Linked DNA regions of Oryzias latipes. The protein of the gene in region 1 purifies or fractionates together with the protein of each later gene. This does not show direct contact. Links are inferred from orthologs where the notes say so. Each region holds a gene or a part of one and is shown in the gene's direction. Other genes may lie near its edges. The genes, in order: pan2 and pan3.

What was found.
Region 2: the proteins of pan2 (region 1) and pan3 purify together in Homo sapiens (co-immunoprecipitation; 5 studies listed by BioGRID and IntAct, with this or other methods). This does not show direct contact. The link is inferred for Oryzias latipes from reciprocal best matches to the Homo sapiens genes PAN2 and PAN3.

The regions. Positions count from the first base shown.
Region 1 is NC_019865.2:22,098,614-22,102,879, reverse strand, and holds the start of pan2 (PAN2-PAN3 deadenylation complex catalytic subunit PAN2), read left to right. Parts: upstream 1-1,257; 5' UTR 1,258-1,343; intron 1,344-1,751; 5' UTR 1,752-1,776; coding exon 1,777-2,061; intron 2,062-2,151; coding exon 2,152-2,321; intron 2,322-2,466; coding exon 2,467-2,587; intron 2,588-4,266. UniProt on the Homo sapiens protein: Catalytic subunit of the poly(A)-nuclease (PAN) deadenylation complex, one of two cytoplasmic mRNA deadenylases involved in general and miRNA-mediated mRNA turnover.
Region 2 is NC_019878.2:17,415,745-17,419,563, reverse strand, and holds part of pan3 (PAN2-PAN3 deadenylation complex subunit PAN3), read left to right. Parts: coding exon 1-132; intron 133-2,504; coding exon 2,505-2,634; intron 2,635-3,819. UniProt on the Homo sapiens protein: Regulatory subunit of the poly(A)-nuclease (PAN) deadenylation complex, one of two cytoplasmic mRNA deadenylases involved in general and miRNA-mediated mRNA turnover.

The DNA.
Region 1 (4,266 bases):
CTCCACACATTTGACCAAAAACTTACAATAATTAAACAAACATTAAAAATGCGGTAGCCTATGCGTGTAGAATTACATATTTATATTTTTTATCATCACTTTTGTTGGTTTGAAATGATCTTAGTATTGGTGGGAATTGTGGGAGTTTCCTCTCATTATTGTCCAGGTGTGCAGGTAAGTGTGAACTAGCTCAGTTTCACTTCATGACAATGGCAGTGCCCAGGAAGTGAGATTAACATTTACGTTTTGCCAAGTTGATTAATTGGAAAAAAAACTTGCCATGGGAATCCTCCTGTCCCTCCTGTCTACCAGAGAAAATGACCAAAATCTTTCCCATGAAATGTCTCTGTGAAAAAGACAGGAAGCAATACAAATAGTGGAATATTATACTTCCTTTGTCTTTCATAAATTGTGTTTAGTATTTTATCAATGAGTCGGAAGAAGTAACTGTTCCTCCTACTCGTTTAAGTAGAATCAGGAATGTTTTGCAATCAAGGACTTTATTGTAAACCTGAAAGAAGCCTTGAAAGAATTCCTTTAGAACTTAAGTGGAAATTAACCAATAATTACACTGTTTTTGCACATAAGTCAAAGTAAAAAAGACTCAACAGTTTAAGTGCAAACTTCTTTAGTGTTGTTTTTGTTTTTCTGATTCTACACTGTTCTTCAGTTATGAAGATTCAGTAACTATTACTCTACTTTTATAGAAGATGCAACACCTTTATGGTTAATATGCCATTGAAAGATAATAACATGCAAAACAATAACCTGAGTAAAAATAATCTTGTTTAAAATAACGTGACACTTTATGTGTTTTAGTTGCATTGGTGTAATACTTGGGGGGGGGGGGGGGGGGTCCAACATAGAAAGAAATAATCAACAGACGAGGCAGTAATCCACTTCTTAATAAAAAATAAAAAACAAAAGTAAATTCAAACGAAAATACAAATGGATATTGAAGCAGAAGATGGTTTTAAATTTGGGTTAGGTTAACACGCCCTATAACATGGATTTCCAATAAAATATTTGAAAAGGTGGTGGTTTTAATGTCACTGCGTTGCTGAGGATCACTCATTCCTCGATCACTCCATTTACTTAACCAGATTCACTAAACAAAGTGGTATGCGTTTAAAAGAATAGTATTATTACTGTTTAACACAATAAAAAAAGCACTGTGCCCCGAAACAGAAGACAAACGTCACTGTGGGGCCATTTACCCAGAACAGAAGCTCATGAAACCCAGCCGTTCTTGAACTCACCGCCGTTTGCTCCGGAAATACTTGTGCGTTGTTGTTGTGAATGGTGAGCATGGACACCTATGCGCCAAAACATTCCAACAAAAGGTTAGAAAATACTTTAAACACGAATTTTTAATGAGTCCATTTTTAAAGATATGACAAAATCTGCTTAGCGTTGTGTGAATTTAGTGTAAACACGGACGGTGGAAGCATTTTTTTATTTATTTATTTTTACCAACAATGCTAACTTTTAGCGAAATGAACCAACCGTTACTCACAGCTAGCCTTAGCTAGATTATTCTGATGTGACATTAAGAGTTTAGGCGCGAACGCCTAATTCTTTTTGATAAATGCATATATAGTACGATTTATTTGAGCTCTTTTTGTTTTAGCTAAAGATTTCTTTGTGAATTAGGTTCGGTTGAGCTTTCTCGGAGGCAGCGCCCGGTGGGGAATTTCGCCTTTATTTGACGCACGACGTGATCAATGTGTAAATCTGACCTTCATTTGCAGGTTGCTGCTGTAGCTTTTCCCCAGCATGAACTTTGAAGGTCTCGATGCAGGGATGGGGGAATTCCCACCAAACCTTCACGGGACTCTTGACGCGGGACTGGAGCCTTCCATGGACCCTCACCTAAACCCCAGTTTACTCCAGGGTGTGGAGCTGGAAGCGGAGGGCCTCACCATGACGGTTCCCGAGCCTGTGCACATGATGGAGGGAATTTTCTCTGAGCTCCACAGTGTTGTGTCAGAAGTGGGCATCCCAGTCACTGCAACACATTTTGATAACCAGGAAGAAATGCTCTGGATGGGAAACCACAGAGTGAGCGCATATGCAAACTGTGTACATTGTTTCTATAGGAACTCGGCTCTAAAACTGAACTGATTTACCACTGTTTTCTGGTATTCTTAGGGTCATGTAACATCGTTCTTTGGGCCTACAATGGGACGTTATTCATCTTTCCAAGTGCACGCTGCAGATGACATCCGGCACATACAGAGTTTGGAAACAGGAGTGCTCTTCCTTTCCAAATCCAACCTCAAATGCTACACGCGTGGCGGCCTGTTTATGTTTGATTATCCGTAAGTGGATGTGTGGATGTGTAACATTAACATGGTAACTAAAATATTTATTATGCACGTAAGTCTGGAAACAGCCTGGCGTCATAATGTATTAGAAGATATTTTTATGTACATATTTAAGTGAGCAGACAACATTTGTGTTCAGAATGGAGGAGGGAGCGGACATGCATAGTCTCCTCATGACCGGCAACAACACGCTCCTCATGGGTGGGCTGCAAAACTATGTTGCTGAAGTTGACTTGAATACGGTTCAAGAAACTCAAAAGGTGAGTAACAGACTTTCTTTTTAGTTCCTAAGTGCTATATGCAACAGGACCTGCTTAAAAGACCAAATCCGATGAAAATTGTGTTTTTGTCATTTGTTTTTACAATTTCTTGTGACATTTATCAGATGGATGACATATATTAAGAAACTTAGGCTACGTTCACACTCCAGGGCTTAATGCTCAATTCCGATTTTTTGAAAAAATCAGATTTTTTTTTACAAGGCTGTTCACATTTCCAATTAAATGTGAACCTTTGTGATCTCCTGTGTGACCGTGAAATGACCCAGAAGTGACCCGCATGCGCAGAAGAGTTCTCAATGGTGAACGACGTCACTTGTTGTTTGCAGAAGTAGCTAACGTTAACAATGGAATTTCAACAACAGTGTTATCAACAGCGGAGCTCTTTTTGCATTGTTACATTTATTTTCACAAAGGAGCCAGCACAATTACAATCTTCTCATTTTAAGAAGGCATTGGAGCCGGGATCGTCTGTATCCTCTGTTGTGTAAAGGGGATGTGTATGTGTTTGGGGCTGCACACGTGTGTGTGTGTGTGTGTGTGTGTGTGTGTAAGAGACAGGACAGAGCGCGTGCAGCGAGGTAGAGAATGAGGGGGGCAGTGGGGGCGCGCATTCATGTTGTATGTTAAAGGAGGAAGGAGAACGAGAATTAAAGAAGGTTTCCCCCAGAATAAATGCTATTGACTCTTTCTTAACCCGCTCTGGAGAATCTGAGGGTCCGAACGGGGAAGTGAACCCCTAAGGAGGATCCGCCTTCTGCCCTGGAGAAGGTCTCCCCCGCGCTTCTGACTAATTAAAAGCTGAATTAAACCTTGACAGTGGATGAGGCCCTCACATCCTCAGGTAGGCTGATCCACAGACGAGGCCCGTAGTTTCTAAATGAGGCCTCGCTGTGGTTTTTTTCCTGACCTTAGGATCTTTAGCAGCCCGCCTGAGGATCTAAGGGCTCTGGGAGGTTCATAAGTTAAAAGCAAATCTTATATAAAAGAAGGACCAAGACAATGAACACTCTTGTAAACTATTAAAAGAATCTCAAAATCAATCCTGAAGCTGACAGGGAGCCAGTGCAGAGATTTTAAGATCGGTGTAATGTGTTCCCTCTTCCTGGTTCTCGTTCAAAGGCGTGCAGCAGAGTTCTGGACCAGCTGCAGGCGAGATGCAAAAGAAAGCCGCAAAAATTACGCTTTCATCAGTAGCCCTGTAAAATTACTGTAATATTTGTTTTTCATAGCTGTCTTTGTTTATTTGTCTTGTGGTTTAAAAATCTGCTGGACGATGAACAAACTTCTTAATATCTTTCTAGGTGTAAAATAAAGCAATCAAAGTTGTTTGGAAAATAACTTTTCAATCCTTTAATAGATTCTCATGAATTTTATTTTTTTCCTTAAGTAAATGCTGCTTTCCCTCCTGTCAATGTGTTAATGCAGACCTTAATGCTCTGGACAGTGATATGTTAATATGTTGATACTCAAAAGGGATTTTATTTTACCCAAAGGTGTCTGCACAGTTTGCACGGCGTTCTCCTTGTGTGTGTTTGGGTTTTCTCTGGGCCAGCTTCCACCCACGGTCCAAAAACATGCTTCTTAGACTGATTGGTGACTCTAAACTGTGCCTTGGTGTGAATATGAGACGATGGCATGGGGAACTGTCCAGGGTATAT
Region 2 (3,819 bases), on another chromosome or scaffold:
TCTAGTGTCCTTGGGCAAGGTGGTCCTGGCTTTGGCCTGTAACTCTCTGGCTGGAATTCAAAGGGAGAATCTGCAGAAGGCGATGGAGCTGGTGTCTTTAAACTACTCCTCAGATCTCAAGAATCTCATCCTGTAAGGGTGGCAGGGTGCACATGTGGTCAGCTGGTAGTGAGAGATATTTTTGGAATCTCCTGTAGCTGTGCTTTATAAATCAAATAGTTCATTTATCCCCCAAAAAGAATAAAACCAAAAAAGTTTAAAATTAAATGGTTTCCCAAAAAACTTGCTGGAAAAATAAAGAATATTTTGAGGTTTAAGCAGATCAAAAAAAAATTTGTTTGTTAAACCCTAATTTGATTTTGAATTATCAAACAAAAAATAAAACTTCCCTAAGAAGCTCATCAATTTCAAAAAATCATTGGTTTAATGGCTTAAAAATGTGAAAAGTGTCTGGCTGAAATTGGTTTGGTGGTTACTGATGGGCTTAACCACAAAGAGCAATAAGACTTCAAAACATAATCTAAAAAAAACTTAGTGCTGAAATAGGGCAAAACAAAAGGTTAGTGTATTCATCTCTCAGTTTTAGTTAACACCTTCTGCAACATTTTGCTACGGTTTCAACAGAATCGGTGTCTCATATAGGGCAGTTTGAACCAAAAAACTAAAATAAAAACATGGATGGTAGCTTTAAATTCACCGACTCAACCGTGAAAGTTTATAGTTATTTTTGGATTTTTTATTTTAGGAAATCAACTTGTTTCCTATGGTTTTTAAAATTCACACTAGTTTGATCAGTAAAAAGTAACTGCTTGTTACTGGATTTTGGCTTCATGCTCCGTCTCATCTCAATAGAAGGTTAAGGAGAATTTCTCTAAAATGGTTAAAGGTTCCAAATATGTTTCAGCCAAATGTAGGTTGATTTAATTTTTTGACAGCTGGAGTGGAAAAAATGTGGTTGTGCAGCTCTTTAGCAATACTAATATAGTTGTTGTATAGTGAGGTTCTAACCCTGGGCTCACACCGCAGCCTCTCTTTGTCCATTGTGTTAAATGACCAACATGACACTCTACCGCACACTTTGTGACTCCTTGTCAGTGGAAATGACGTAATGTTTACACCACGGTGAAAACATAGTGAGTGCAGTGGAAACAATTAGTTTTATTTTGAAAAATTGACCAGATGCACTTTACACTCCCACGCATGATTTCAGGTTTAGGCCGTTTTATTTGCCTCAACTTCACGAAAAAGTGCTCCGGCACGCGCTGGACCAAACCGAATGCTGTGTATCTGCCTCTCGCACTTTTCAAGTTACGTAAAGATTCCAGCGGCCGCACCGGAGCTCGGCTGGATGCAGTTTGAGCCCAAGTCTTTTGGTTTTTATTAAATGTTAACTATAGGAACAAAAAGTATGGAAATGCCTGCAACAAGACCCAAAAGCTTTCCTAAAATATTCATTGGAGAACCTATAGACTCGAGGGCAAAGTTTGATTAGAAAAGTGAATAAATGAAAGACACAGACTCCTTAATTTTTTATTTTTTATTTTTAAGATACTGAGGGTCTGGTTAGTGTTGTGTCTTTCTGTTGATGGGAAGATCTGAAGCCCAAATTGAACAGAAAGGAGACACTTGAACAGATAGACAGTTTTTCAGTTGGCTGGCACCGAGTCCTGACCCAAGTCTGATCCTCTTTCAGGGACAATCTCCTCACGAGTCATGTGTTGAATTTTGACCAGGTTGGTATAACGCCGCACTCCACGTTTGAAGGGGCAACTCCCAGCTGGCGAGTAAAACACCGGTCTGAAAAGACGAGTTTGATTGATTCAGTATTCAGTTTAGGGCCTGTTGTCTCTGCGTTTTGTTAAAGCTTTTCAGCCAAACTTTATCAGTGCTGTTCTCAACTTCCATGTTTGTTGATAGGATGAGACATATAGGTTTAAGTGCAGAGGAAATTAGCTCTGTAATCTAATGAACCAATTTAGATCTTTTAAACGTAGTCTGTAATCTTTTAAGCAAAAATACTCTACTTTTTTAATGTAAATATGATCCGTCATTCACATAATATACTTTTTATGACATAGCATCCATTAAAAACAACAAAAAAATCATTTTATTTAATCATTTTAATTTACAACTTCTTTTTCTAAGCTCTGAAAAGTAATAATTTGACCTTTTGCTTCTCAGTTCACGCTTCTTCTTACTTATTTTTTCTTTTTTTACTTTGCTAAAGTTTAAATTCACGTTGATTCATTTTTACTGCTTAAAATCTTTCTTAATTTATATCAAGTTGAAATCCTAAATCATGCTGCTTTAATGTATGGTTCACATAAAAAAAGATTTTCCAAGTTTCAGCATCACTTCTGAAGTTATATCAGATTTAGGTTTAACTGTAAAGGCTGAAACTTTTTCACATGGAAGAGGCTGAAAGCTGCTTCTGGGAGAGATGAGAGACTTTTGTTTTGCTGTCATCCAATGTTCGACTTCTGGTCTTTTGTGTGTTTCTGCAGGTACCTTCTGTCTGAGCAGTCCCGCCTGCGAAGTGTCAATGACATCATGCCCATGATTGGAGCTCGCTTTTACACCCAGCTGGATGCTTCACAGATGAGGAATGATGTAATCGAGGAGGACTTGGCCAAAGTAAGAAATTTGTTTTTGTGTGCCGGATTCTGTTGCTAGGTTGCTAGTTTAACTTCTTGAGAAAGTTGGTAGGCGAGCAGTTTACATACAGGATGTTGTACAGCACTCTTCTTGAATTTAGTCCCTTAAATTAAGACGCAACAGTGTCAAACAATTATTATTCTTTCTAAATTCTCCCTCCAGAAGTCTCTCTAAAAGGATAAAAAATAATTCTTTAACATTTAAGAATCTTATTTTGTAGGGCTCATAAATTAAAATCATCAGCTTTTATTAAAGGTTGTGCGTGGAAGTTTGCTAAACCTCAAAAGATGTTGAACAAATAAAATCTAAAGGATCACATTTTCACAATTTGAATGAGGATAACTGAGGTCTTTGGGGGAATATTTTATTAATTTTGTTAAGTCTAAATCTATTGCTTGTTCATACTGATTAAATAGAGGCTGCTGGTAAGGTTTTGTAAAGAAGTGACTTCTAAACATTACCAACCTTGAGAGAATCTGTGTTTAGTCAAAAGCAGAAGTGCTGGAAATGGCTTGTATGAACTGAGAAATAGTTGTAATGTTGTGACCTTATTCATTAAAGCAGAATAACTGAATAATTGGTGACCTCACCTTTTACTTTTGTGTTGCTTTAAATCAGGCAAATGATAAAAAGCTAAACTTGAGGAATTGTGAAAGTAATTGACAGAATTGGTCAGTTGTACTCGATAAAGTGTTTATGTAAAAAAAACAAACTCCTGAAAGTGATTAAGAAGTCATTTTTTATTATATTTTGCTTTTATAATGACATAATCAGTTGGGACAATTATAAAAGCGTGAGTTTTAGACGTATTCCATGCATATGCTTCAGTCTCCATAAACATGTTTTAATGGGAGATACAGCACATGTTCCATGCATGTTTCTAATGTTGAAACAGGGTGACATGTTGCAATTTGGAGTCATTTTCTTAGTCCACAGTTAAAGTCCCATTTTGATCATCTTTCGATCTATTGTAAAAGTGCTCTTTTAGTTCTGAATATGTTGTTTTTAGCCAAAATTTAAAAAAATTCATTTTTTAAGACATAGTTTTTGCAGAGCAGCAGTAGTTTGGTAGAAATTCCCTTCTGAAGCATACACGGATCTAGTGCTTTATAAATGTGTTCAAAAAAAAAAAGTTAACTCAAGTTGGGTGATTAATGATGTGGT